Linked DNA regions of Macaca mulatta. The protein of the gene in region 1 purifies or fractionates together with the protein of each later gene. This does not show direct contact. Links are inferred from orthologs where the notes say so. Each region holds a gene or a part of one and is shown in the gene's direction. Other genes may lie near its edges.

Region 1 (6,306 bases):
TGAGGTCAGGAGTTCGAGACCAGCCTGGCCAACATAGTGAAATCCCGTCTCTACTAATAATACAAAAATTAGCTGGGTGTGGTGGCATGCGCCTCTAATCCCAGCTAGTCTACTCGGGAAGCTGAGGCAGGAGAATCGCTTGAACGCGGGAGGTGGAGGTTGCAGTGAGCTGAGATCGTGCCATTGCACTCCAGCCTGGGCAACAGAGCGAAACTCCATCTCAAAAAACAAACAAAAAACCCATTGTATTAGTGATGGAAATGTGTTCCCTCCCTCCCAACCTGGCAACCACTCTTTCTTCCTCCTCCATCATAAAATACCTTAAGCTAAACTAAACAAATTTTATTTATCGATAGTTTGAATTTTCCATATCATTGCTACACAGCTAAATGAGAGGTACTCCGAGGAAAATATAAATGGCACAGTAATGCATTGTAGATTTTAATAACATACTTGACATCCCAAATTGTTTCCATTGGCTTCATTTTAAAAACTACGTGTTTTAACATCAAGCAGACACTAAAAGTACAAGATATACTGGGTCTACAAGGTTTAAGTCAACCAGGGATTGAAATATAACTTTTAAACAGAGCTGGATTATCCAGTAGGTAGGTTAAGCATGTGCTTAAGGCATCAGCAAAGTCTGAGCAATCCATTTTTTAAAAACGTAATATATGTTTTTGAAAAGCTTAAAAAGTAATAGTCACAGGAAAAATTAGAACTTTTACCTCCTTGCACTTGTTATACTCTTTAGTGCTGTTTAACTTTTCTTTATAAGTGAGGGTGGTGGAGGGGCCCATAATCTTTTCAGGGAATAAGGTCTTCTTGATCTTTCTTTCTTTTTTTTCTTTTTTTTTTTTTTTTTTTTGAGACCGAGTTTCGCTCTTGTCTCCCAGGCTGGAGTGCAATGGCGCGATCTTGGCTCACTGCAACCTGCGCCTCCTCCTAGGTTCAAGCGATTCTCCTACATCAGCCTCCCAGTAGCTGGGATCACAGGCATGCACCACCAAGCCCAGCTAATTTTGTATTTTTTAGTAGAGACAGGGTTTCGCCATATTGGTCAGGATTGTCTCGAACTCCTGACCTCAGGTGATCCTCCTGTCTCAGTCTCCCAGAATGCTGGGATTATAGGCGTGAGCCACCGCGTCCAGCCTTTCCTTTTATATAATAGTGATAATTCTATCCAAAGCTTTTTTTTTTTTTTTTTTTTTTTTTTTTTGAATCGGAGTCTCATTCTGTCACCCAGGCTGGAAGGCGGTGGCGCGATCTCGGCTCACGGCAACCTCTACCTCCTGGGTTCCAGCGATTCTCCTGCCTCAGCCTCCTGAGTAGCTGGAATTACACACGTGCGCCACCACGCCCGGCTAAGTTTTGTATTTTTAGTACAGACGGCCAAAGCTGGCCTCGAACTCCTGACCTCAGGTATCTGCCCGCCTCAACTTCCCAAAGTGCTGGGATTACAGGCGTGAACCACCGCGTCCGGCTCCAAAGCATTTTCTTTCTATGCCTCAAAACAAGATTGCAAGCCAATCCTCAAAACGGATAATTCAAGAGCTAACAGGTATTAGTTTAGGATGTGTGGCAGTGTTCTTAAGTCTTATATGTATTAATATACAACAATTCATTTAAACTCACAACACCCCTGTAAAGCAGGGGGTACTCATATTCCCTTCTCCCTTTATAACTAAGAAAAATGCAAAGTATTTTCAGTAGGAAAGAGAAATGTGAGGAGTGTGTAGGAGACAGGACAATGTGTAAAGCGGGTCTTTGGATCACTGTGCAACTCTGCCTCTAGAACACTGAGCACTTTTTCTGGTCTAGGAATTATGACTTTGAGAATGTAGTCCGTCCTTCCAATGACTCCATCTCCATTTTCCTATCTGCCTACAGGCAGAAATCTCCCCCGTATTAAATAAACCTCATCTTTTCAGAGTCTGCTGTTATACCAGGCAATGTACACGTCTGAGAAACCCTTGCCCCAGACAGCCATTTTACACGTAGGAGGGGAAGGGGTGGAGAAGGAGAGGGTAGGCCAACTCTCCAAAAGGAATCCTTTGAACTAGGATTTCTGAGTTAGTGAACCCCGCGCTCTCGAAAATCAAGGGTTGAGGGGGTAGGGGGACACTTTCTAGTCGTACAGGTGATTTCGATTCTCGGTGGGGCTCTCACAACTAGGAAGGAACAGTTTTGCTTTTTCTTATGATTAAAAGAAGAAGCTATACTTTCCCTATGACACCAAACACCCCGATTCAATTTGGCAGTTAGGAAGGTTGTACCGCGCAGGAAGGAAACGGGGCGGGGGGCGGGGGGATTTCTTTTTTTCTTTTTAACTGAGTGAACGCACTCGAACGCGCCTTTGCTGGCAGGCGGGGGAGCGCGGCTGGGAGCAGGGAGGCCGGAGGGCGGTGTTGGGGGCAGGTGAGGAGGAGGAGCCCAGTCCTCCTTCCTTGCCAACGCTGGCTCTGGCGGGGGCTGCTTCCGGCTGGTGCCCCCGGGGGAGGCCCACCCTGGGGCGACTTCAGGGGTGCCACATTCTCTACGTGCTCGGAGTTAATAGCACCTCCTCCAAGCACTCGCGAACGGCGCCCCCCTGCCTGGAAAGATACCGCGATCCCTCCAGAGGAGTTGAGGGACAGAGGCCGAGGGGGCTCTTCCGCCAGCACCGGAGGAACAAAGAGGAGGGGCTGGCTGGTCACCAGAGGGTGGGGCGGCCGCGTGCACTTGGCCGCTGCGGAGAGTGGGAGAGCAGGGAGCGAGCAGCCGGGAGCAGCATGGAGCCTTCGGCGGACTGGCTGGCCACGGCTGCGGCCCGGGGTCGGGTAGAGGAGGTGCGGGCGCTGCTCGAGGCGGGGGCGCTGCCCAACGCACCGAATAGTTACGGTCGGAGGCCGATCCAGGTGGGTGGAGGGTCTGCAGCGGGAGCAGGGGATGGCGGGCGACTCTGGAGGACGAAGTTTGCAGGGGAGTCGGAATCAGGTAGCGCTTTGAGTCTGGAAAAAAGGGCTTCCTGGGGAGTTTTCAGAAGGGGTTTGTAATCACAGACCTCCTGCTGGCGAAGCCCTGGGTGCTTGCGAAGCCAAGGAAGGAATGAGGAGGCACGCGCGTGCCGATCTCTCGAATGCTGTGAAGATCTGAAGGGGGGAACATATTTGTATTAGATGGAAGTATGCTCTATCAGATACAAAACTTACGAAGGTTTGAGATAAAACGGGAGTCTTAAAGAAATGTAAGATGTGCTGGGACTACTTAGCCCCCAATTCACAGATGCCTGGATGGAGTTTATCTTTCTTACTAGTAGGGATTATCAGTGGAAATCTGTGGTGTATGTTGGAATAAATATCGAATATAAATTTCTGATCGAAATTATTCAGAAGCTGCCGGGCGCAGTGCCTCACGCCTTATAATCCCATCACTTTGGGAGCTCAAGGAGCGGGGGGATCACCTAAGAGTTCGAGACCAGCCTGGCCAACAGGTGAAACCCCGCCTCTACTAAAAATACAAAACTTAGCCGGGGGGTGGTGGCAGGCGCCTGTAATCCCAGCTACTCGGGAGGTTGAGGCAGGAGAATCGCTTGAACCCGGGAGGCTGAGGTTGCAGTGAACAGCGAGAGGGAGCCACTTCACTCCAGCCTGGGTGACAGAGTGAGACTGTCGAAAGAAAGAAAGAGAAAGAGAGAGATAAAAAAAAAAAAAAAGCATTCAGAAGCAACTACATATTGTGTTTATTTTTAACTGAGTAGGGCAAATAAATACATGTTTGCTGTAGGAACTTAGGAAATAATGAGCTACATTCATGTGATCGTGCCAGAAGTAATATGTAGTCACCATTTTGGGAATATCTGCTAATATTTTTACTGTTTTGCTATCTTTAGCTTACTTGATAATAGTTTATTTTGTGATAGAGTTTTCAATTCCTCATTTTTGAACAGTGGTGTTTCTCCTCTCCCTACTCCGGTTTTGTGAGGGAGTTAGGGGATGATTTAAAAGTAATTAATGCATGGGTAACTTAGCATCTCTAAAATTTTGCCAACAGCTTGGACCCGGGAATTTGGCTTTGTAGTCCTAAAATATCTTAGAAGAGACCTTATTTGTTTAAAAACAAAAAGGAAAAAGAAAAGTGGATAGTTTTGACAATTTTTAATGGGGAAGGGAGAAGAACATGTAGAAAAGGGGAAGTGTTGTTGGCTTAGAATCCTAACTACACTGGTGTTTAATATAGGAACACTTATTTGTATAATATTTTTAAATGCTAAATTCATATCAATTTATTATCAAATGGGTTTAAGCATCCTACACATTTTAATTCAATGAATTCATTTTCTTTTTGCTTTGGATTTATATCATGATTTAAATATTTACATATGGGTTACTTTTTAGGTTTTTCATTCTATGAAATATAATAAAAACCTTTAAGGCTAGTTTTATGACCAAGACGAAGAGAACTTCAGTGAACACACGGAACAATAAATATGCTGCAACATTTTGTCTTTCTTTTTGTAGCTGCAATTTGGTTTGCTTATACTTTCTCTTTGTCTCTTTGAAAACTAAGTCAGTTTCACTTTCTCAGGACAGCATTTAATAACCATAATATAATTTAGTATAATTCCTTGATTTAGGCAAATTATGCAATTTGTGTTTAGTATGAAATGTACCTAAAAATAAGTAATTCCTCTTTAACACAACCATCCTCAAGCTAATATAACAAATAACAGTTATCCTAAAATAAATTGTTTATTTCCACCATGCAACACTCAAATTTTAAGGTTGCTATGACTGGAGACAGTATTTTAAAATTCCTCTCTGGAAATGGCTTTGTTTCCAAGATGATTTAGGAACCAAAAAGGTGACCATCTCTTGTTTAATGAACTCTCAAATCATAAACCTGGGAAGCCTTTTCGTTTCCTATTGCTGCTGTTACAAATTACCACAAATGTGTTAGCTAAAACAAACAAAATTATTATTTTACAGTACAGTTCTAGAGATCAGAAGTCAAAAATGGGTCCACTTTGGGAAACTCTAAGGGACAATCTGTTTCCTTGTCTTTTCCAGCTTCTAGTGACCATCAAATTCCTTGGCTCATATTCCCTGTATTTTCTCTGTGGCCTGTGCTTCCATTCTTTTATCTTCTCTCTGACTGTGACCCTCTAATAAAAACACTTGGGGTTCTATTGGGCCCACCCTGAAAATTCTGGATAATCTCCCTCAAGACCATTACTTAAATCACATCTGCAAAGCCTCTTTTGCTACATAAGTTAATAAATTAACAGTTTTTGAGGATCAGGACATAGACATTTGTGGGGGGGGGGACCTTATTCAACCTACCACAGGAAGGAATTTTAGGGCTAGTCTAGCATTCTTATTTTATACTTGAAGAAATTGAATTTTTGGAATTGGAGAGCATTATGCTAAATGAAATAAGCCAAACACAGAAAGACAAATATCACATGTTCTCACTTATCTGTGAAATATAAAACAAATACATTCTTAGCAGTAAAGAGTAGAATGGTGGTTGCTGGAGCTGGGGAGGGGGGCAGTGGGAGGAATGGGGAGTGGTAATCAAGATACAAAGCCTCAGTTAAGATGGAAGAAATAAGTTTGATTTTTTTTGAGATGTGTTTCACAGCATGATAAATATAGCTAAATAGTAAATCCCAAATGCTCTCATTTGACAAAAATATCAAATATTTGAGATGATGGATGGGTTAATTAGCTTGACTTAATTCCACATTGTGTTCAAAGATCATAACTTCATATTGTACCACATAAATATATACAACTGTACTATGCCAATATGTAATTTTAAAACTAATTTAATGAAAAAGAAATTTAAGTTCAACGTTCCCAGAAACTAAGGGTAACTTAAAAGTTTTGTGAGAATTTGTTTAAAAAAACAAACAAACAAGTTTTCTCTTTTTAACAATTACCACATTCTGCGCTTGGATATACAGCAGAGAACCAAAAAAAAAAAAAAAAAAAAAAAAAAAAAAATCTCCAGGCCTAACATAATTTCAGGAAGAAATTTCAGTAGTTTTATCTCAAGGGAAATACAGGAAGTTAGACTGGAGTAAAAGTCAGTTTGTCCCTGCCCCTTTGCTATTTTGCCCATGCCTCACAGTGCTCTCTGCCTGTGGCGACAGCTCCGCAGAAGTTCAGAGGTTATAATGGAATTCAATGTGATATAGAACTCGAGAAGGAAATTGGAAACTGGAAGCAAATGTAGGGGTAATTAGACACCTGTGGCTTGTGTGGGTGTCTGCTTGGCGGTGAGGGGGCTTCACACAAGCTTCCTTTCCATCATGCCGGCCCC
Region 2 (5,565 bases), on another chromosome or scaffold:
GTTACTATCTCTTCTTAAGTAGAGCTGTTTGACTTAATCTGTAAGGTAGTATCTGTCACGCCTGTAATCCCAGCACTTTGGGAGGCCGAGGCGGGCGGATCACGAGGTCAGGAGATGGAGACCATCCTGGCTAACACGGTGAAACCCCATCTCTACTAAAAATACAAAAAATTAGCCGGGCATGTTGGCGGGCGCCTGTAGTCCCAGCTACTCAGGCGGCTGAGGCGGGAGAATGGCGTGAACCCGGGAGGCGGAGCTTACAGTGAGCCAAGATCACACCACTGCACTCCAGCCTGGGTGACTGCACAAGACTCCGTCTCAAAAAAAAAAAAAAAAAGATAGTATCTGTGTGTATGTGTGTAGCCGTCACTGTTCAGGAGCACTTTTTAGAGGCTGTTACCTTAGCGACAGATTGGTCTTTGGCAAGTAATAATTTTTAGTTTTTATGTTCTGCCACAATCATGTGTAAGTTTACTATTTTTTAATTTCTTCAAATTCCTTTTACCACAGTTTTCTATTTTTGTAGAACTATTAGTTTGTATTATGCAGATTTATTACTCTGTATTATTTGTCAAACTTACTAGTTTATGTTATTACGTTTATAGATTCCATGTCCAATGACATGGGGCATAGAAGCATAGAATTTTGTGTCAAGGCTGGGAGATGGAAACATAAGTGAATACATTTGTAGTAGACTCAAATCCAGCTGACTTAGTTAAGTCTTAGGTAGTAATTTCTTCATGGTTATCTCCATTAAGAGGGAAAACTCACTTTTGCACTATTAGGTATTTCTTCTCTCTGAGATGTGAGGGATTGTCTTGCTGAGTTCAAGGGGTCTCTGTTCTCAGGGTTACTGGCTTTTTAACTCTCCTCTCTCTCAGCCTTCAGTGACTTTGCAGGCAGTCTTTGCTTATATAAGCCTCTATGAAAGTGATAGACCTGGTAATTCAGGTCTTGTTATCCTTAAGTTATTCCAACACAGTAGAAAAGTATGCTTTTGGTGGGTTCTTCTGGCAGGTACTAGACAGTCTATGACATTAGCTTGTTGTGTTGAATGACAAGCTATTTTCTTTCTTTTTTGTTGTTTTTTTGTTTGTTTGTTTTTTCTGAGACGGAGTCTTGCTCTGTCGCCCAAGCTGGAATGCAGTGGTGCGATCTCTGCTCACTGCAACCTCCACCTCCCTGGTTCAAGTAATTCCCCTGCCTCAGCTTCCCGAGTAGCTGGGATTACAGGCGCATGCCACCACGCCTGGCTAATTTTTTTGTATTTTTAGTAGAGACAGGGTTTCACCATGTTGGCCACACTAGTCTCGAACTCCTGACCTCAGGCAATCCCCCTGCCTCCCAAAGTGCTGGGATTATAGGCGTGAGCCACCACGCCCGGCTGACAAGCTATTTTCTTTCTTTTTTTTTTTTTTTTTTTTTGAGACGGAGTCTCCCTGTGTTGCCCAGGTTGGAGTGCAGTGGCCGGATCTCAGCTCACTGCAAGCTCCGCCTCCCGGGTTTACGCCATTCTGCCTCAGCCTCCCGAGTAACTGGGACTACAGGCGCCCGCCACTTCGCCCGGCTAGTTTTTTTGTATTTTTTTTTGTAGAGACGGGGTTTCACCGTGTTAGCCAGGATGGTCTCGATCTCCTGACCTCGTGATCCACCCGTCTCGGCCTCCCAAAGTGCTGGAATTACAGGGTTGAGCCACCGCGCCCGGCCGACAAGCGATTTTCAACACCAAAGTTTTAAATTTTTAAAACCACTTTCTGAGAAGTGTGCATGTGTAAAACATAATTTCCTTGAGGAAAAATTTACTCAAGTCTAATAAACCTAGTAGTTTGTACTTGAACCTTTTAAAATGTGGTTTTGTACTTATATTTCATGTTTTTAGATGCCAACACTATTTGTGGAGTCAGTTTTGGAAGTACATGGTAAATTTGTTCAGCTTATCAATACTGTTTTGAATGGTGATCAGCACTTCATGAGTGCGTTGGATAAGGTAAGTTTTAAATACGTATATACTATATATGTACATAAAGCTCTGTCATTCTTTAGGCAGTTTCAGGATTAGACTCCTAGTATGAGATTTCTGACCTAGACATGGAGATTAAATATGAAATTCAAAATGGAAATAATATAACTTTTAAATTATTAACTGAATAGTAAATTGAATGCTTGTAGAATTTCCCATGATTATGCTATATAAGGGGAATTTTTAATCTGATATCTTCTGGATAGACATGCATAATTTTACAATTTTTAGTACTGATTTTTTTCTTTGGCCATAATACTTAGGCTATATTGAATAATATTTGAAAAGAGAATAGATATGTTTTACGTGAACTTTTGTATACTTTAAAGGAAAGTTACTTACAAGATTGTAAGTTTTTTTTTTTAAGTAGTGTTATTTTATCTGTTCAAATTTTGGTAATGAGTTACAGAGTATCTTGCAATAGCAACAAGATGTATAGATATTTTGTAATTAGAGAATAAAATCAGAGGAGTCCACTGTGTTAGGTGCGAAAATATTAACAAACTACTGGCAATGCTGTGTCGTATGTGGCGGGGTAATTTTGGATGTATGGATTATGGCTTGTATTGAACTAGCTGTACTTTTTCCCTATGGCTGGTGGTTAATTATGGCCTGTTTTTTATGTAGGCCCTTACGTCGGTTGTAAATTACAGAGAACCTAAGTCTGTTTGCAAAGCACCTGAACTGGTAAGTTTGGTGTTTGCTGAAAAGTAATCTTATGAAAAGTCAGTATTAGAACATGAAAACTGAGAATATCAAATTAATTTGGTTTTTGTAGCATTTTTCAGAAAAACAAAAGGAAAATTATCTACATTGTACATAGTTTGGCATTTATGTAAGGAATGCAACATACCGTGTGTCTTTTCTTAAAAAATAATCATTTTACAAAGTTTGGGTTTTAATGTATGTCTATTTTGAAATAATTTTAATACTTTTCATGTAGATTGTTATATCTGAAATCTAAAGGAAGTCTGATGATAAAGTTTGGGTAACCTTTGAAGGAAACTTGCTTACAAGGTTTTTGTAACTTTTTTTAAAGTACTTATTCAATGTCAAAAATTATAAAACCGCTCGAAACTCACCCAGGTGTTCTTTTAAAAATTTATATTACCCATATCAGTTGCTTTATTGGTCAATAAGTGATAATTCGATATTTGACTTGTTCTTTTAAAAAATATACCTTATGATGTGTATTTTATTTAGGTTACACTTATGATTATTACATAAAGCTTTAGAAGCCTGGTGTGGTTGTGCATGCCTATAGTCCCAACTACTTGGGAGGCTGAGGCAGGAGGATCCTTTGAGCCTAGGAGTTTGAGGCTGCAGTGAGCTATGATGTTGTCCATTGCAATCCAGCCTGGGCGACAGAGCAAGACCCAGTCTCTTAAAAAAACAGTAAAAACTCTGTCCACTGATCTTATCTTGTATCACCACTTTGCCTCCTTTGAGGCATGATATATACAGAAGCACCCTTTGTAAGATTTATTATCAATTTCTACATGAGCTTGCTAAGTACTGTGACAACTTACTGAAGAAGTCGGCGAAAGGGATGACAGAGAATGAAGTGGAAGACAGGCTCACGAGCTTCATCACGGTGTTCAAATACATTGATGACAAGGATGTCTTTCAAAAGGTATGCTGTGAACAAAAAAGTTTCATTTGTGTTTTGGTCAACTTTATTTCTGAATGCTAAATCATTAGAAAGGAAGTGATCTTTTAAAATATTTTTAAATGCAGTTCTACGCAAGAATGCTGGCAAAACGTTTAATTCATGGGTTATCCATGTCTATGGACTCTGAAGAAGCCATGATCAACAAATTAAAGGTAATATAAGTCTTTAATCTGGTACTGTCCTAGAAATTCACTCACAAGCGTATAAAGATGTTCATTGCAGCATTGTATGCAGTAACAGGAAACAATTCATCCGGTTAAATGTATATTTTTATATTCACACAGTGGGATATACAAATACTATATTAAAAGGACAAAGTATGTATGCTTATATATGAAGATTCACTGGATAATCAGTATTAACGATAAAAGATTATTACTACTTTAAATGAATACACCTAAAATATTCCTTTAAGTACAAATTTTGGAGTGCAATTCCATTTCAATTTATTTTTACATCATTTCAGCTTGCTTGCACACCGATAAGTGGTAGCAGGTTCTTATTTCTCCTGCGTTATTCAATAAATTTTCCTGCATAGTAGACATTTTGAATATAATATGCACTCCTTTTTTCCTTTTTCTTTTTTTTAAGAGATAGGATCTCACTATGTTGCCCAGGCTGGACTCTAACTCCTGGGCTCAAACGATCCTCCCGCCTCAGCCTCCTGAGCAGCTGGGACAACAGGTGTGCACCACTGCACCCAGTTGCTATGTGCTCTTTTTGAAACCTGCAAAAAAGAAAAAAAAAAGCTTAGTTTTTAATTTCTAAAAGTAGAGTTGGCCAGGTGTGGTGGCTCACGCCTGTAATAGTAGCACTTTGGGAGGCCAAGGCAGGTAGATTGTTTGAGCTCAGTAGTTCGAGACCAGCCTAGGAAACATGGCAAAACCCTGTCTCTACCAAAAATACAAAAGTTACCTGGGCTTGGTGGCTAGTCCCAGTTACTCAGGAGGCTGAGGTGGGAGGATTGCTGGAGCCTGGGACATCGAGGCTGCTGTGAGCCATGATCACACCACTGCACTCCATCCTGAGTGACAGAGCAAGACCCTGCCTCTAAATAGATTAATTACCAGAAAAATAGTAGTGTTAATGAGCTTTTATATTTCAAGATTAGAGATTCAGATTTTCTAACCTGGTAACAACATAATTTTGAATAATTTTAAAGAAATAATTTTCTTCATCACTCAGTAGATGCTATTAAAAATATGCCTAAGTAGACCTTTTTCAATTGACTACTGGCTAGAGTATTCCCAGTAATCATTTATGTAATCTTTCATTTGATACTATCTGTAAACCTTATAAGAGCCAGCAGCTGTGGTATGTGCCAATAGTCCCAGCTACTGGGAGAGTGAGATAGGAGGATGGCTTAAGCCCAGGAGTTCGAAGTTGTAGTGCACCACGATGGCTCCAATGAATAGCCACTGTGTTGCAGCATGGGCAACAGTGTCTTTAAAACAAAACACAACATAAAATCCTTATAAGGTATCTTATGTATAGTAATGGGGCGTTTTGCAGTGCTGAAATAAGAGATGAATGTATAAAAAAGTTTTTGTTTATGGGGAGATTTATTGTTCCTAAATAGGTGGATTTTATTCACTTACTTAAAATATGCCTTTAAAAAGAAAGAAAGTTGGAAAGGTTTTGATTAGTTGCTTTGACTTATGAAGAATATATTACTAGTCCTTGGGTATAAGTGTACATGCAAGAACTCTTGACCAAAGACCTAGCAATACTGACACATTCTTATTAACCAATATGACTTATTATTTTTCTTTTGAAGTCATGTATTTTCTAAAACTTTTTTTATAGCAAGCCTGTGGTTATGAGTTTACCAGCAAGCTACATCGGATGTATACAGATATGAGTGTCAGCGCTG
Region 3 (5,565 bases), on another chromosome or scaffold:
ATCCCACGCTGGCCCACCTGTCCACGGTAGGTGCATGACTGCTTGAGGAGGGGAGGCCGGAGTTCCCCGCCACACACTGGGACGTGATTGGTGGCGAGGCTCTCTATGGAAAGAGCTGGTCTGCTGTTTGTCTAGGTCAGTCATGGAGGCCCTGAGATGCCCACTACTGCAGCCTGGCAGGCAGATGAGTCCCAGTATCTGACAATGACCAGAGGGAGTTTTGTGCAGACCACAAAGGCTGATGGGCCGCCCTAGATTGGTGTCCCCCTTGGAAGTAGGCCCAGATGTGCGGGACAGTCCCCAGGAAGCCCCAAGTAGGGGGATTGGTGCCTTCTTGGGAAAGCTGCTCCCTCCTGGGACCCGGCTCCTGGCCCAGTCCACCAAGGGTGTCCCATAGTGCCTGCTGCTAGGAACCCCACACCTCTTCCCTTACTTGGGAAGTCGCTGGAATTGCTGGGCTACATCAAGTGGCCCAGAGAAGCGTTTTTGTCATCGGCCAGAAGTAGAGTTGTGAGTAGAGGGCCCTGGGTGGAGTTGGGGTGTACTTGGTCCGTGCTCTGAAGGTCACCGTGACAGTCGTGGTCCCACGGTAAGGGCCATGGGTTGCTGGAACAGCTCTTCCTTCCCGAGTGAGCCAAGCCGGGCTCTCCTGACGCCAGGGCCTGAGCCGGAGCCACACCATCACGGCCACCCTGAAGGCTGCCGGCCAGGGCTTGCCCCTCGATGGACACAGGGAATGGCTTCATCAATGCCCTGCAGCCCCATGGCCTGGCCCCGTGCAACGTCCCTTCAGAATATGACTTGTCTCCAATCCCTGCTGCTGGGGGGTGGCACGTACTTGGGGTTAAGGTTTAGGGTCATAGAGGCGACATCTCTGTGTCCTCATATTTGTGTCGTCTAACTTTGTTTTTGTGAATAAGTGGTAACATTCACAAGGCTCAAGATGCTGAAAGGATGAGAGGGTAGTGATGTCCTTGTCACCTGTCCTGTCTTCCCGTGGCTTTCTCTCTGCTTGGTTATGTTTGAGTCAACAGTGGGGCTGACATTCCTGGAGGGTCCCTGGGCCGGGCTCTTGCTCTCCTAGTACCCAGGGATGGCGGGAGGCTGGGGAGGGCCTGGAGAGTGGTACCCACCAGGCCGGGCCGCCTGCTCAGAGCCAGCACGTGGGGATGCCCAGATCACGGGTCCCCTGCTCACAGCCCCCTTCCCTCTCTCCTGCTGCAGATGTGAAGTTCATTTCCAATCCACCCTCCATGGTGGCAGCAGGGAGCGTGGTGGCCGCAGTGCAAGGCCTGAACCTGGGGAGCCCCAACAACTTCCTGTCCTACTACCGCCTCACACGCTTCCTCTCCAGAGTGATCAAGTGTGACCCGGTGAGTGAGGGCAGTGTCCCAGGGAGCCTCGCCGGGGCTCACAGGCAGGAGACGCCTAGTGCCACGGAAATGCCAAGGCTGGTGCAAGGGTGACAAGGTTGGGGTTGGGGCTGGGGCTGGGCCCCTCGGACCCCAAGCCACAGACTGACAGGGCACCAGCTTCTTCCACTGCTCCTAGAACTCACTGACCGGTCGGGAGGTCCTCACAGGCTGCTCATGTCCCCTGGGGCTTCCAGGAGCTGTAGAGTGTTTCTGGGCGAAGCGTCTAGGACGACGGCCCCAGGCGGCCCCAGCCAATGGTCCGTGTGGTGATAGTGTGTGGGGTTAGGCCCAGGCGAGCTTTGTTTGGGCCACAATGTGCGTGGCCAATAAATAGATGCTTGAAAAGGGCTCCTGTGAGGTCCGAGACGCCGGACAACGGGCGGATAGAGACGGCCTTGTTTACGGCTCTTTGAGAGGCTGCTGCCGTTAAACCCTGGCATGACTGTGTCTTTCTTCTTCAAAATGCCATTGTTTTATTCCCGATTCTTTTCTTAAAGAAAGAATTAAAATGACAATCAAAAGGGTTTGTGGCATTTACCAAATTAGACCAGAGAGGTGGCCGGGTCAGCCGCCGGCCCTGCGGTGTGTGAGGGAGTGACCGCCTGACCCCAGCTTGGGGCCGGCTGGGCCTGCGAGGCCCGTTGTGGCTCTGGCCTGGGCCGCCTCTTGGGGGTCTGCCCTCGAGCCTCCCGGGGGCTCCGCACGGGTCTCAGCAGATGCTATCTAGCGTCCACCTGCCTGTCCCCTGCCTAGCGGTGCCTCTAGGCAGCTAGCGGCTGCCCAGCCCATGTGTGTCTCGGAAGAGGAAGAAGCATTTTTGCCATGGGATACTGGAGGTGGCAGGGGCGCCCTCCCCTCCCTTCTGTGCTCTCGGCCGTGGCCTCCCTTGCACCCTGCCCCGTGTTATCCTGTGGGGGTGGTAAGGTGTCCTCACCCGCTGTAGGGTGGAGGCCAGCAGCCCACAGTTCTCTCAGGAAAATGGTTCAGAAACGCCGTCAAGGCCTCCAGAAGCCCAGCAAAGGGAAAGCCCCTCCGTCAAAATGAAACTCGCATCTGCACTTTCATTTCCAACTCCACGCCCTGAGTGGAAACCGCCTCCCCGCCAGGGGTATCTGCCCGGGATGTTGCTGTCTTTGGGCAGTTGTGGGAAGTTGGGCACTGGCCCTTATTTGAGTAGAGACCATCTGAACTAGATGGGAGGCACACGCTCACAGCTGACACACGGGGTGAAGTTACCTGAGGCGGAGTCCACTCTGCCTGATTAGCTGAGCCCAGACTCAGAAAAACCGTTCACAGCAGAGGCCCCCTGCACTTTCTAGGGCGTGTTCTAGAATTTTCTTTGGTGGGTGGAATGTCCATCTGTGTGAATCGGGTGCACAGGGCCACACACCAGTGACTTTTCGTGGAGGAGCGTGCTGCCTCCTTGGAGCTTCTGGCTGTGGGAGAACAGCTCTGTCCACCAGGGTAGCCTTGCAGGCAGCTGTGGGGCCAGAGGAATGAGGGAAATGGAGTCCAGCTGCATGCGTGACCCTGGAGCGGGTCATGGTGAGGGGGGCGGACGGCAGGTGAAGAGTCCGTGGGTGGAGCTGCCAGGCCCCTGGAGCTGGGAACTGAGGGTGGCTGGTGTTTTAGGTTGAACATCAGGAGTCTTGGATCTCACCCCAGGTCTCTGGCCTCAGTTTCCCCATCTGTACAGTGGGACTGTTTGTGCTGCCAGCCCAGCCGGCTTCATTTGCCATGATGAGAATTTATCTGAAAGGCGGGAGAGGAAAGCCCTCCCTATAGTCACAGGACGCTAAAATGTTACGACCCCAGGGGTCCACTGAAAAGTCCTTCTGGCCTAGGTCATCGCCTGTCATGCCCTGCCTTTGTCCACCCCCATCTGGTTGGAAGTTCAGTGGCACCTGTTGGGGCTGTGGCCCAGCCCTGCTCCTTGTGGAAAGTCTGTTTCCTGGGCTGCCTAGAGACTCGGCTTGAAGCCCTACTGTGGCTTCCTGGCAGTTGGGACACACACAGCCCCAACACATGAAGCCAGTTCTCTATCCAGAAGCCCCCGCACAGGAGATAGCCGCTTCGGGCTGCCTGGGACTTGCCCGTGCTGGAGCTGAGGAGAGGCCCCCGGCTGGGCGCGGGGTTCCGGATTCCATGGCTGCTCTTTCCCACTGACGGTGTGGTGCGGCCGCCGCCAAGGGGGTCTGGAGACCCGGAGGGCGGAGGTGCAGGACTTCCAGGAGCTTCTGTTGCACTCCACCCGAGGGCGAGCACCTCTGTGGCCGCAGCGGGTGGATGCATGCTGTGCCAGGCTGATGGGTGGCCCCGGGGCACAGGCCTGAGCGGGAGAGGATGGAGGTGAGGGATCAAGGGTCCAGGTCCCCCTGGGCACCCAGCATTCATCCTCAGTCATGCACGGCCTGAGACTTTGACAGCCGTTGATCATGGAAGGCCAGGTTCACCTGGAGGGCTGCCACACGGAGAGGCTGTCTGAAAAGGCAGGACTGAAAGGGCCTGTCTGTCCAGATCAGATGGCACTGAATTCCCCAGGGAGCTGGCAGGGCCAGTGGGAACAGAAGGTCAAGGAGCTGTTGAGCTTGGGGATGGGCAGAGCGGGTGCAGGGTGGGCGGGCAAGCATCTGCTGTCTTGTGGCTCCGGAGGCCAGGTGGGAGGTGGAAGCGTTGGGTCCTGAGTGTCTCACTGACAGGTGATGGCAGCTCCCACGTCTCGCTCAGGTTCAGAGGCGGCGGCATGGGTCAAGGGACAGTTTTTTACTTAGTCTTGCTCTTATAGAGGCCTTCCAGGTCGTGGCACCTGGGAGGGGGCCCTCACCGCAGGCCCCTTCTAAGGACCCCCTCTTCCCACCTCTCCCCACTCCGTCTCTCTCAGGACTGCCTCCGGGCCTGCCAGGAGCAGATCGAAGCCCTGCTGGAGTCAAGCCTGCGCCAGGCCCAGCAGAACATGGACCCCAAGGCCGCCGAGGAGGAGGAAGAGGAGGAGGAGGAGGTGGACCTGGCTTGCACACCCACCGACGTGCGGGATGTGGACATCTGAGGGCGCCAGGCAGGCAGGCGCCACCGCCACCCACAGCGAGGGCGGAACCGGCCCCAGGTGCTCCCCTGACAGTCCCTCCTCTCCGGAGCATTTCGATACCAGAAGGGAAAGTTCCATTCTCCTTGTTGTTGGTTGTTTTTTCCTTTGCTCTTCCTCCCTTCCATCTCTGACTTAAGCAAAAGAAAAAGATTACCCCAAACTGTCTTTAAAAGAGAGAGAAAAAAAATAGTATTTGCATAACCCTGAGCAGTGGGGGAGGAGGGCTGTGCTACAGACAATAGAGGATTTTATACCCCAATAATCAACTCGTTTTTACATTAATGTACTTGTTTCTCTGTTGTAAGAATAGGCATTAACACAAAGCAGGAGTCTCGGGAGAGGATTAGGTTCGATCCTTTACGTGTTAAAAAAGAAAGCGTAAAAACATTTTTAAAACATAGAAAAATTCAGCAAACCATTTTTAAAGTAGAAGAGGGTTTTAGGTAGCAAAACGTATTCTTGTGCTTTTCCTGAAAAGCGCAGCTGTAGTGTGGTTCTAGGCATCTCTGTACTTTGCTTGCTCATATGCATGTAGTCACTTTATAAGTCATTGTATGTTATTATATTCCGTAGGTAGATGTGTAACCTCTTCACCTTATTCATGGCTGAAGTCACCTCTTGGTTACCGTAGCGTAGCGTGCCCGTGTGCATGTCCTTTGCACCTGTGACCACCATCCCAGTGGAGGTTTGTCGGGCACCAGCCAGCGTAGCAGGGTTGGGAAAGGCCACCTGTCCCACTCCTACGATACGCTACTATAAAGAGAAGACGAAATAGTGACGTAATATATTCTATTTTTATACTCTTCCTATTTTTGTAGTGACCTGTTTATGAGACGCTGGTTTTCTACCCAACGGCCCCACAGCCAGCTCACGTCCAGGTTCAACCCACAGCTACTTGGTTTGTGTTCTTCTCAATATTCTAAAACCATTCCATTTCCAAGCACTTTCAGTCCAATAGGTGTAGGAGATAGCGCTGTTTTTGTTGTGTGTGGAGGGAGGCCAGTTTTCTAATGGAATGGTTTGGGAATATCCTTGTACTTGTGTGTAAGCAGGACTTCGAGGCAA
Region 4 (5,565 bases), on another chromosome or scaffold:
ACTCAGTGTCTCTGCCACTTCCTGGGCCCAGTGCTACCAGCTTAGGTGCCCAATTCACCCACCAGCTACCTTCCTCCATGTACCAGAGGTGTGCGTGTCAGGCAGAGTGAGGCACGGGTAGAGAAAAAGCATAAAATCCCCCTTTCCCTGGCTCTCCCTCTAAGTTACATTTGAAATCTCAGCTTACCAACTCTTAAAGCTGTCCCCCATCTCCAATCCTGCTTCTACTCACTCCAGCTTCTGATGGCCTCTTGGGTTTGTATTCTCCTCCATCTGAAATAGCCCCCTTTCCCTTAAAGAGTCCTTGGGTAGACAGTCCTCCAAAGCCTCCCTACAGCCCACAGCAGAACCCGCTTGGCCTGGCTCTCCTAGGACAGGGCCTCTGCAGCCTCCTTTCGTGCCCACCCACCCCTGCCAACCCTCCCCGAACACTAGGCCCTTCTCTGCCTGCCTTTGTAGGCACGAGGCTGCCTTAGAAGGGTGAGATTAGGAGTGCTGGGTGTGTTCTTGGGTGACAATGTCTTCCCATCGCCTGTGCGACCTAAGATAAACTCCTATTCATCCCTCAAAACCTGAATTAATGATCACACCTCCCACCCCACCAGGAGTTTTCTTGTTTCCCCTTCTGTGTTCCTATAGAACCTGCTCATATACTTCTATTTAACACGATATATATACCATGATTGATTTCCACTTATAGACTTTTAGCTCTTAGATTCCAGAATTATGTGTCACTGATCCAGACCTGACATATAGTAGGTACTTATGCAAGCTTGAAAACACAAATGAGAAACAGAAACATTGTTTTTACCCAAAGAAACTGGTAATGTAGCCCCTTGTTTTGTCCCACGCTCCCTGGGGCAGGTAAACGTGCAGGAAAACCCATTTATTTGCCTTCTTGTGGTTCCAGCTACAGCTGACTTGCTGTCATGTCATCATCTCCCTGGGGGTTGATTGGAATTGAAGGATATAATTTTGCAAGGTCCCCTGCCTCTAGTGCAAAGTACACACAGCTGTCCCAGAAAGGTGCCCACAGCTTCCTAGATCTGTCACTTTCTATAAAAGCCTGGTCCACTCAGAGTGGATATCTGGTTCAGAAGACAAAAACTCCTTCCAGCTCAGGTGTTGGGAAGAGACCAGAAGGTTAGTGGGATGGGCTTTGGTCTGGGGGACAGTAACTCAGAGTCAGTTCCCCGCTCCCCCTCCATAGAGGAAAGGACTTGCCCTGGAGGCACTCATTCCCCGTGCCTCTCTGATGTCTGAGCCCAGGGGAGCAGATTCTTGTTCTCTTAACCCCACACTGAAGAAGGAGCCCCCATAAGTGCCATGGCAGGCCCACCTGTGGCTCTCCCTTCCCAAGCACCACCAGGACCAGGTGCAGGTATGAGGCCCTAGGGCATTACCAGGGAGGGGCCAGCCTGGGGCGCAACCTCTGGCCTTAAGGGCATTTATTTCTGGGAGGAGCAGGACTGGGAGGAGAGTTTGAGATAAGACTGTGAGCTACAAATATAACTCCTCACGTACAGGCCACTTTATTGCTTTTTTTTTTTTTTTTTTTTTTTTGAGACGGAGTCTCGCTCTGTCGCCCAGGCTGGAGTGCAGTGGCCGGATCTCCGCTCACTGCAAGCTCCGCCTCCCGGGTTTACGCCATTCTCCCGCCTCAGCCTCCCGAGTAGCTGGGACTACAGGCACCCGCCACCTCGCCCGGCTAGTTTTTTTTTTGTACTTCTTTTTAGTAGAGATGGGGTTTCACCGTGTTAGCCAGGATGGTCTCGATCTCCTGACCTCATGATCCGCCCGTCTCGGCCTCCCAAAGTGCTGGGATTACAGGCGTGAGCCACCGCGCCCGGCCCACTTTATTGCTTTATAAAAATTTTCACCTTTGGCCAGGCACACTGGCTCATGCCTGTAATCCCAGCACTTTGGGAGACTGAGGCAGGTGGATCACCTGAGGTTGGAAGTTCGAGACCAACCTGACCAACATGGAGAAACCCCGTCTCTACTAAAAATACAAAATTAGCCAGGCATGGTGGCGCATGCATGTAATCCCAGCTACTCGGGAGGCTGAGGCAGGAGAATCGCTTCAACCTGGAAGGTGAGGCTGAGATTGCGCCATTGCACTCCAGCCTGGGTAACAAGAGTGAAACTCTGTCTCAAAAAAAAGAAAAAAAAAAATTCACTTTTAAGCACACCTTCCTAAAACTAGGTTTAAGTGTAACATGCCATATACATACAGTGTGCACGTTTTCAGAAATGTGTTCTCATTGAGTAAAGCAAGTTAAATTCACCTAAGGGAGCCCCAAAGACCTTGGTGCCCTTTTGGGGTGCACAGCCATGGGGCCCCATTGAATTACAAATCCAATCAGCCTGGCATATCCATCCCATTTTACTGACCTCTGCCCAGCAAGTAGATCTAGGCTTCAGGGATATTTCTTCCCCAAAACAGGGAGAAGAGAGGTGCTGCCATTATCCTCAGTGTTCCCCCTTCTCTGGAAGGCCAGGAGATTGGAGATCCTGGGGGTGTCCAGCCTGGTCGAGGTGACAAGTGGGGCAAAACCAAAGATCAGTCTCTGGCAGGCTATACCAGGTGCCGTGGGGAGGCGGGGCAGGCAGAAGCTGCATTCTGATCTGAGGTGGGTGGTGGGGCTGCCATTGGAGGGGGCTCTCTCTTGTTTTCATGCGAGGCGTTCCCTTCAAGGAGATCTCAGCAGGGAGTCGGGGTGTGAGCAGCCAATATTAGGGGGACTGTGTTCCAGGCACTCTTCCAAATGTTCCATAGGTGTGAAATTTTGATCCCCACAGCCGCCCCTTAAGGTGGATTCTCTAACCCAGTACACCCATTTGCACCCCCTCAGCAATTTTCCTGTTGATGTTTGCATTTGTTTCCTGTAGCTACCATGAGTTACCATGAACTCCATGGCTTGAAACAACAGAAATGGATTCTTCTGACCTATCCAGTAAGGCAGAAGTCAGAAATGAGTTTAACTGGTCAAGACCAAGGAGTTGCCAGTGCTGTGATCCCTCTGGAGGCTCCAGGGAGAACCTGTCCTTGATTGCTCCAAGCTCCTGGTGACTGCAGGCACTCCTGGGCTTGTGGCCACATCACTCCAATCTCCGCCTCCTTTGTTTTCACTTCTGTGGGTTTGGCTAAACTCCCTCCACCTCTCTCTTATAAGGATACTTGGGATGGCATTTAGGGTCCACCCCGATGATCCAGGATTCTCTCATCTCAAGATGTTTAACATAATCACATGTGTAAAGAGTCTTTTTCCAAATAAGGTCACACTCATAGCTTCTGGAGATTTGACATGGTTATCTTTGCAGGGATCATTTTTCAGCCTTCCACATTCTTCATTCAGATCACCTCTCTGTATTGTCAGACGTAAGTGTGCTTCCCACATCCTTTTTCAGGGAAGGACTTGCTGCCGGGTCACAGAAGTGTGGTCAGCAGTTGGCCATCAGCTCCTTCAAGGTCTGTCTCAGCGATAGAAAGTCAACTTGCCCGAGGGCTACCATTCTGGGGCAGTGCACTTCTAGAAATATAAAGCCCAGCCATTTCAGCCCCATGAAGGACATTCTCGGGGCAATATTCACTCAGAGGCCCCCACCACATTGACTGAAGCTTTGCTGGACCTGCAGTGCAGTTGAATTTCTGCCTCTGCCCAGTCCTGCTTCCATCTGGTTCCTCTCACAGGAAATGATTCCTAATAAACATCTTGCCCCCCCAAACACCACCTACTTCTGTAGAATGCAACCCATGACACAGACATTTCCATTTTTGCCAGTATGATGGAAGTGAAGTGGTCTTCCTCATGTTATTTATTTGTTCATTTATTTAGAGATGGAGTCCCGCTCTGTTTCCCAGGCTGGAGTGCAGTGGTGCCATCGTGGCTCACTGCAACCTTCACCTCCCAGGTTCAAGCGATTCTCCCACCTCAGCCTCCTAAGTACCTGGACTTACAGGTGTGCACCACTACACCCAGCTAATTTTTGCATTTTTAGTAGAGATGGGGTTTCACCATGTTGGACAAGTTGGTCTGGAACTCCTGACCTAAAGTGATCCACCCACCTCGGCCTCCCAAAGTGCTGGGATTACAGGTGTGCACCATTGCACCTGGCCCGTGTCCTTTATATTAGCATTTCCCTAGTGTACTGGATTTAATAGTGTCCCCGAAAATTCACATTCACTCAGAACCCCAGAATGTGACCTGCTTTGGAAATAAGGTTTCCAGATGTGGTTTTCAGATGTAGTCATCCTGGGTTAGTGTAGGTCCTAAGGCTGAGGAGCAGTGTTCTTACAGGAAGAATGTCATGTGACAATGGAGACCATGTGACAATGGAGGTACCTGCAAGCCAAGGACACCAGGGCCTGCCAGCAGCCACAGAAGCCAGGAAAGAGGCACAGCATCTCCTCTGCAAGGAACCAACCATGCTGACACCTGGATTTCAGACTTCAAGCCTCCAGAACTGTGACAGAGTAAATTTCTTTCTTTCTTTTTTTTTGCAGGGGTGGGGGGAACGGAGTCTTGCTCTGTCGCCCAGGCTGGAGTGCACTGGTGTGATCTCGGCTCACTGCACCCTCCACCTCCCGGGGTTCACGCCATTCTCCTGCCTCAGCCTCCTGAGTAGCTGGGACTACAGGTGCCCGCCACCACGCCCAGCTAATTTTTTGTATTTTTAGTAGAGACAGGGTTTCACTGTGTTAGCCAGAATGGTCTCGATCTCCTGACCTCAGGTGATCCACCCGCCTCAGCCTCCCAAAGTGCTGGGATTACAGGCATAAGCCACTGTGCCAGCCCTGTGAGAGAGTAAATTTCTATGTTTTAAGCCACCCAATTTGTGATGATTTGTTACAACAGCTCTGGGAAACTAGACACCTTGTTTCTAGTAAGGTTGGACATCTTTTCATATATTTATTGATCATGTTCTCTGAAATGATCTTTCCTTCCTTCTTCCCTTCCTTCCTTCCTCTCTCTGTCTTTCTCTTTTTTTTTTTTTTTCTGAGTCAGGGTCTCACTATGTTGTCCAGGTTGGTTTCGAACTCCTGGACTCAAGTGATCCTCCTGCTTCCACCTCCCAAAATGCTGGGATTACAAGCGTGAGCTACCATGCCCAGCCAAAATGATCATTTTTTTCAATGTAGAAAAACTTCTCCATCTCATCACATGAGAGTTGTCTTTCTAGTATCTGCTGACTTAAAAAAAAATCAATGTATTTATGGATCCCTGGCCCCTTTGCATAATTCTATTTATTTATTTATTTATTTATTTATTATTTTTATACACAGGGTCTCCCTCTGTCACCCAGACTGGAATACAGTTGCACAGTCATAGCTCACTGATGCCTCAAACTCCTTGGCTCAAGCGATCTTTCCACCTTTGCATAATTCTACAGCTTTCCAGGGACCTGCTTGCCCATTGGTTGGGAATCCTAACCTACGGGATTACATTTCAATCCTTTATGATGGACCTGAAGGTTCTTCAAGATCTCTCTTTGCCCATCTCTTCAACCTAATTTCTCTCCACTCATCCCATAAACATCCATGTTCCCATAATAAACTTCTTC
Region 5 (5,565 bases), on another chromosome or scaffold:
CCCTGCCCTATCCCTTCCTCCCCTTCTTGAACAGAGGCTGCTTAGCTTAGCAGTGGCAGGAGTCCCTCTGAGGATTTGATTTTTAAAAACCATTGAAGAGGTGTAAAGGACCCTGCTTGCTGAAAGGAAAAGGAAGAGTGACTGGGCCTCCCCCAGGTCATCCCTGTCCTGAGCAGGCACCTGGGAACAATTAACTGGCATAGTCTCCAGAGAATGACCCAGGTAAATATATGCTAAAGGAAGGAGAATTTGTACAAGTAGATATAAATCAGTATGTTGTCTTTGTTGTTGTTGTTACTATGTGTCACCAGACCTTTATATACCATGAGAAGGCAAACCATTATTAAAGAGAATTCGCTAGCCCTGGGTATTTATACTTAGAACATGAATACTATACCTCACTTTTTGGAACCACTTTTTTCTCTAGGTAAAGTCATGAAGCTGAGCCCCAAAGCAGAAGAAGTAGCTACATTCTTTGCAAAAATGCTCGACCATGAATATACTACTAAGGAAATATTTAGGAAAAATTTCTTTAAAGACTGGAGAAAGGTACTGTAGCCCGTGTGTTAATATCTTAGTAGCTTGCAAAACAATCAAGTATGAAGTAATAAATTATTTTGCAAAACATTTCCTGATGTAAAATTTTGAGTTTTATGGATTTTGCTGTATTTAAAGTTGTGCACTTTTTGTCTTCATTTACTATATTATGTAGGGTTTCGGTCCAATAAGAATACTTGAATATCGGCCAGGCGCAGTGGCTCACGCCTGTAATCCCAGCACTTAGGGAAGCCAAGGCAGGTGGATCACAGGGTCAGGAGATTGAGACCATCCTGGCTAACATGGTGAAACCCTGTCTCTACTATAAAATAGAAAAATTAGCCGGGTGTGATGGCGGGTGCTTGTAGTCCCAGCTACTCGGGAGGCTGAGTCAGGAGAATGGTGTGAACCTGGGAGGCGGAGCTTGCAGTGAGCCGAGATTGTGCCACTGCACTCCAACCTGGGTGACAGAGCCAGACTCCGTCTTAAAAAAAAAAGAATACTCGTATATCTTTGCTATCGGCTGTCATGTGATGGCAGGTAGGGGGTTATGAGATTAGGCCAAACAGAAAACCTCAACTCTAGTTGCGCATAGGAAAGTTTGTCTCTGCAGGACTGCCCAGTGTCTGCTGTTGCAAAGAGAAATGTTAATCTGATGTCCCACTCCCTGTTCACTCCCTGTTAATTCTTGCTCATTTGTTCTAGGTACTTTCTACTCTTGAAACAACATATACTATATTTGCCTAGGTGATTTTTTAAAATCTCATTATTCTCAATTTGGATAATGTGGACAGAGGCAGCAGTAAAGTTTACTTCCTGAACTAGCTCTGAAAAGCAAATTTAATAAATGAATAGAATAGGGGTAATGTTTCTAAGAGAGAATCAGTATGGAATTCCAAACTTGTATTCATGCGCCTGGGGACAGTGTGCCACGGAGTCTAAGAAACCACATAAGAGTTCATTTTTTTCCATGATAAGTCATTTTAAAACATTTTGATATTATTAAATACATATTTTATAATAAAGAAATATTTTTTATTCTGTGTTTTTTTGTTTTTTCAAAATTCATTAATTGAGATTGGCTACTTCGAAAAACCTTTGACTGAAAAAATGGTGCTTGGGTATATTCGCAAAGAAACCCAAGGACTTACTAGTGTAGTTTAGTTGTTTTTCTTTCATCTCCCTGTTTTCTTTTGACTAGGAAATGACTAATGAAGAGAAGAATATTATCACCAACCTAAGCAAATGTGATTTTACCCAGATGAGCCAGTATTTCAAAGCCCAGTCGGAAGCTCGGAAACAGATGAGCAAGGAAGAGAAACTGGTACTACAGAATTTATTAAACCTCTGGAGAATTTTGGAATCGTGATTGGTTCATTTAATTTTCTTCTTGGTTCTTACGACACAACACTTAACATCAGTAATTTCACATCATTCTGTGCTAAAGACTTAGAATTCTCAAAGTCTAAATTTTCTTAAAGGTTTTAGTTAGACTGAAAATTGTGAATAAGTACTTTGCTCAGTAGCTCTCTATAGGAACCCTGGTGCTTCAGTGACCTAAAAACCAGTCAGTAACTCCAGCCAATAATATAGTAATTAAGGATGGACAGAACTGTCCCACAGTGGCTACTGGATATTAAGGATTTAAGACAGATGAAATCATATTGGCCATATACCTTCCTGTTCTTTTATCTGTTTTACTGTGGAATCTTGCAGTGCTCATCCATCTCCATCTTCCAGCCTTGGCCATCCTCATTACTGAAGAATTTTTCTGGTATCCAGCTGGGATGTCATTTTTCTTCTACAGGCTGCCTGTTTTTGTAAAAAAAGAAAAAAAAAAAGAAAACAAAAGTTTATTGGAACCAGCTGCCCCTACTTTTCTACATATTATCTATGGCTGTGTTTATGCAACAATGACAGAGATGAGTAGTTGCAAAAGAGAGTAGTTGCAAAAGAGACTGTGTGGCACTCAAGCCTAAAATATTTTCTATCTAGAAAAAGTTGTCAGCCCCTAACTAAAGGAATCCAGGCTAGAATTTCATTTTTTCCAATCGGAAGTCTAGAAGTTAAGGATTTTAAGGAATTTTTTGCACTTCAAATTCCTGTAGTTTCAGTATTTTGAAGGACTTGCATGTTTATATAATTCAGGCCATTGTATTTATATAACTCATTGTTTCATGGTACTTATTTGGCCACTAGTTTAAAAATTAATGTGTTACTATAAGAATGTTAATTGCATCAGACTTTCTGTCTCAGGTAAATCTTATCCTCAATATTCCAAGTTAGTGAAATTTAGTATATTATTTACATCGGGGCATTTTGAAACTTAAAAGATCACTTTGGAGCTTTGTTCTTAGAATACTGATCCAAAGATAGATTTTATAAACATCCCCTTGTCAGAGTCCCTGCAAGGACACCTGCTGCCAGCAAGGTCTGTTCCCACCCACAAGGCAGCAGGGCTTAGTTAAATTGAATCAATAAGTATATAAAAAGAGTCAATAGAGGGTAAGGAGGCTCAAAATCTTGCCCACCATACCCCACCTTTTTGGAGCAAGGATCATAGTATAGAGCATTTAACCTGTATACCTACAAAAAAATTAGTGACAGATCTGTCTGGACTTTAAAACCCATGTTTTTAGCTGTTTAACTGCTGTTTTAATTAAATGGCTCGAGCTATTCTTTTATGAGGCTCTATCAGAGACCCCTCTCCATTTCCTGTTTTGATAGTACTCAATAAAATAGTACGAATTTTTAAAGTACATTTAAAAACACCCAAACAACATTTATAAACATATATCCTTTAAGACACAGGAATCAGTTTTGAATCTAGTTGAAATCAATCCTTATAGGCAGATCTTTTTGGGGAATTTTATGATATTTAAGTTTGAGAAAACCACTAGAGGTTTTCCTTTATTTGAATTCATTTTTTAGTCATTTTCAGACTTTTCTCTATCTTGACCTAGTCTCCCACAAGAGATAAAAATGTATTAGTAGAGAACAGCATCGGAATCTATTTTGAGTACTTTCTTGGCTGTCTTCCAGAAAATCAAAGAGGAGAATGAAAAATTACTGAAAGAATATGGCTTCTGTATTATGGATAACCACAAAGAGAGGATTGCTAACTTCAAGATAGAGCCTCCCGGGCTTTTCCGTGGCCGGGGCAACCACCCTAAGATGGGCATGCTGAAGAGACGAATCATGCCTGAGGATATAATCATCAACTGTAGCAAGTGAGCTCGCACTTCATCCTGTGGGCCAAAAAGGGGGTGGAGGGTGTCCTTTATTGTACTTGGGAATATTTCCCAGGTTACACAGGACTGTTTGGGAAAGGAGATACTTAAGAGCAGGACAGTATTTCATGCATAGGTCTCCAGATGTTTTTGAGGTACAATAGTCTCCCCTCATCCACAGGGGATATGTTCCAAGACCCCCAGTGGATACCTGAAACTTCGACCCAACTGCTGTCACTTGGAACACATTTCTGTTGATGTCTTCCACCCCCAAATTTAAAGCCTTTTCCATCTTTATTAAGTACTTACCACATACAGTGGCTATAACTTTTGCAGTCTGAGGTGCAACAGCAAAACTAGCATGACTTTCTTTTTCCTTCTTCACAGTTTCACAGATGGAAGATTCGTTTTTACCTTAGATCTCAGCAACTTCAGCATACAGTTTTTTTTATTAAGTCGATAATTTTCACCTTTTCATTTAAAGCACTCTACACCTTCTCTTTGGCATATCCAAATTGCCAACATCAATACTTTCGCACTTTGGGGCCTTTATTAAGTAAAAGAAGGGTTATTTGAACACAAGCAATGTAAAACCATTATAGTCAACCTGATAACTAAGGCAGCGCCTTAGTTACCCGGGGCAAGTGACGTATACAGCATGGATATGTTGTATATATGGTTCACGTGTCCCAGGTGGGACTACAAGAGATTTCATCATGCTCCTCAGAATAATGTGCAGTTTAAAACTTACGAAATGTTTATTTCTGAAATTTTGTATTAAATATTTTTGGATGACAGTTGACTGAGGGTAAGTAAAACCATGAATAAGATGGGACTACTATATTGACTGTTAAGAAGGAAACTTGGAAAAATATGCTCAGCATATATGTCCACTTGAGGTCATGAAAGGTGAAATTATTCCTCACATCTCATTTCACTATCCTCTTGCTCTGTTATTTCCAGAGATGCCAAGGTTCCTTCTCCTCCTCCAGGACATAAGTGGAAAGAGGTTCGACATGATAACAAGGTTACTTGGCTGGTTTCCTGGACAGAGAACATCCAAGGTTCCATTAAATACATCATGCTTAACCCTAGTTCACGAATCAAGGTAAGTTACGGGATAGTTGAGAGCTGCACTGGTTCATGGTGCTGATAATCTTTTTCTGTTGAAATGTAATGTTCTCGTCCTCCAGAATCACTTTGACAAATTAAAAACCCTTCCCGTTGAAAGAAGGCAAGTAGTTAGCATTATGGTGATCTTCCTACAATGCCTCCATTTTTTTTTGGTCACATTGTAATCTTATTTATTTATTAATTCACAAATATTTACTGAAATCCCAAATGTGCCACACAGAGTATACATTTGGTGCTAGGAATTATGTTGGCAAACGACAGACGTAGGTCCTGCCTTCACGTTGCTTAACGTCCAGTGGTCAGAATGTGTTGAAGTACGGTGGTTGTATATTGGCCTCTGCAGATCTCTTCTACTTCCTCACCTCTCTTGGCTGTGAGAAGGGAATGTAATTTCTGTATAGCCTGAAACAAGTTGTAAAATCTAGTGTTTTACATACTTCTGGCTTCCTGCAGTCTCATCTGGGTAGGTTCACCAGGGCCAAATGAAATTACGTGTGTGAAAGCACATCATAAACTATGTTACATACCTGTGCATTGTTATTTATTGATAGTGTTATTGCAAGGAGATAACTGCCTTGGGGGGAATAAGTTCTCGTTTGCCAGATAGCTACGTATATCCAGCTTTAGAGAGTTCCATGAACTTCTTCCCTCCAACATACTATGA

What was found.
Region 2: the proteins of CDKN2A (region 1) and CUL2 purify together in Homo sapiens (affinity purification with western blotting; 3 studies listed by BioGRID, with this or other methods). This does not show direct contact. The link is inferred for Macaca mulatta from reciprocal best matches to the Homo sapiens genes CDKN2A and CUL2.
Region 3: the proteins of CDKN2A (region 1) and CCND1 purify together in Homo sapiens (affinity purification with western blotting; 3 studies listed by BioGRID and IntAct, with this or other methods). This does not show direct contact. The link is inferred for Macaca mulatta from reciprocal best matches to the Homo sapiens genes CDKN2A and CCND1.
Region 4: the proteins of CDKN2A (region 1) and CDK5RAP3 purify together in Homo sapiens (affinity purification with western blotting; 3 studies listed by BioGRID). This does not show direct contact. The link is inferred for Macaca mulatta from reciprocal best matches to the Homo sapiens genes CDKN2A and CDK5RAP3.
Region 5: the proteins of CDKN2A (region 1) and TOP1 purify together in Homo sapiens (affinity purification with western blotting; 3 studies listed by BioGRID). This does not show direct contact. The link is inferred for Macaca mulatta from reciprocal best matches to the Homo sapiens genes CDKN2A and TOP1.

Annotation. Positions count from the first base shown.
Region 1 is NC_133420.1:77,238,062-77,244,367, forward strand, and holds the start of CDKN2A (cyclin-dependent kinase inhibitor 2A), read left to right. Parts: upstream 1-2,453; 5' UTR 2,454-2,771; coding exon 2,772-2,897; intron 2,898-6,306. UniProt on the Homo sapiens protein: Acts as a negative regulator of the proliferation of normal cells by interacting strongly with CDK4 and CDK6. This inhibits their ability to interact with cyclins D and to phosphorylate the retinoblastoma protein.
Region 2 is NC_133414.1:36,430,309-36,435,873, reverse strand, and holds part of CUL2 (cullin-2), read left to right. Parts: intron 1-1,879; coding exon 1,880-1,987; intron 1,988-2,647; coding exon 2,648-2,707; intron 2,708-3,524; coding exon 3,525-3,653; intron 3,654-3,757; coding exon 3,758-3,844; intron 3,845-5,498; coding exon 5,499-5,565.
Region 3 is NC_133419.1:5,006,692-5,012,256, reverse strand, and holds part of CCND1 (G1/S-specific cyclin-D1), read left to right. Parts: intron 1-1,199; coding exon of another isoform or gene 1,200-1,224; coding exon 1,225-1,373; intron 1,374-4,296; coding exon 4,297-4,461; 3' UTR 4,462-5,565. UniProt on the Homo sapiens protein: Regulatory component of the cyclin D1-CDK4 (DC) complex that phosphorylates and inhibits members of the retinoblastoma (RB) protein family including RB1 and regulates the cell-cycle during G(1)/S transition.
Region 4 is NC_133421.1:62,061,898-62,067,462, reverse strand, and holds part of CDK5RAP3 (CDK5 regulatory subunit-associated protein 3), read left to right. Parts: intron 1-2,446; 5' UTR 2,447-2,587; intron 2,588-2,892; 5' UTR 2,893-2,897; coding exon 2,898-2,957; intron 2,958-3,411; coding exon 3,412-3,472; intron 3,473-4,301; coding exon 4,302-4,477; intron 4,478-5,565. UniProt on the Homo sapiens protein: Substrate adapter of E3 ligase complexes mediating ufmylation, the covalent attachment of the ubiquitin-like modifier UFM1 to substrate proteins, and which is involved in various processes, such as ribosome recycling and reticulophagy (also called ER-phagy).
Region 5 is NC_133415.1:93,963,433-93,968,997, forward strand, and holds part of TOP1 (DNA topoisomerase 1), read left to right. Parts: intron 1-427; coding exon 428-549; intron 550-1,738; coding exon 1,739-1,861; intron 1,862-3,579; coding exon 3,580-3,767; intron 3,768-4,730; coding exon 4,731-4,875; intron 4,876-5,565. UniProt on the Homo sapiens protein: Releases the supercoiling and torsional tension of DNA introduced during the DNA replication and transcription by transiently cleaving and rejoining one strand of the DNA duplex.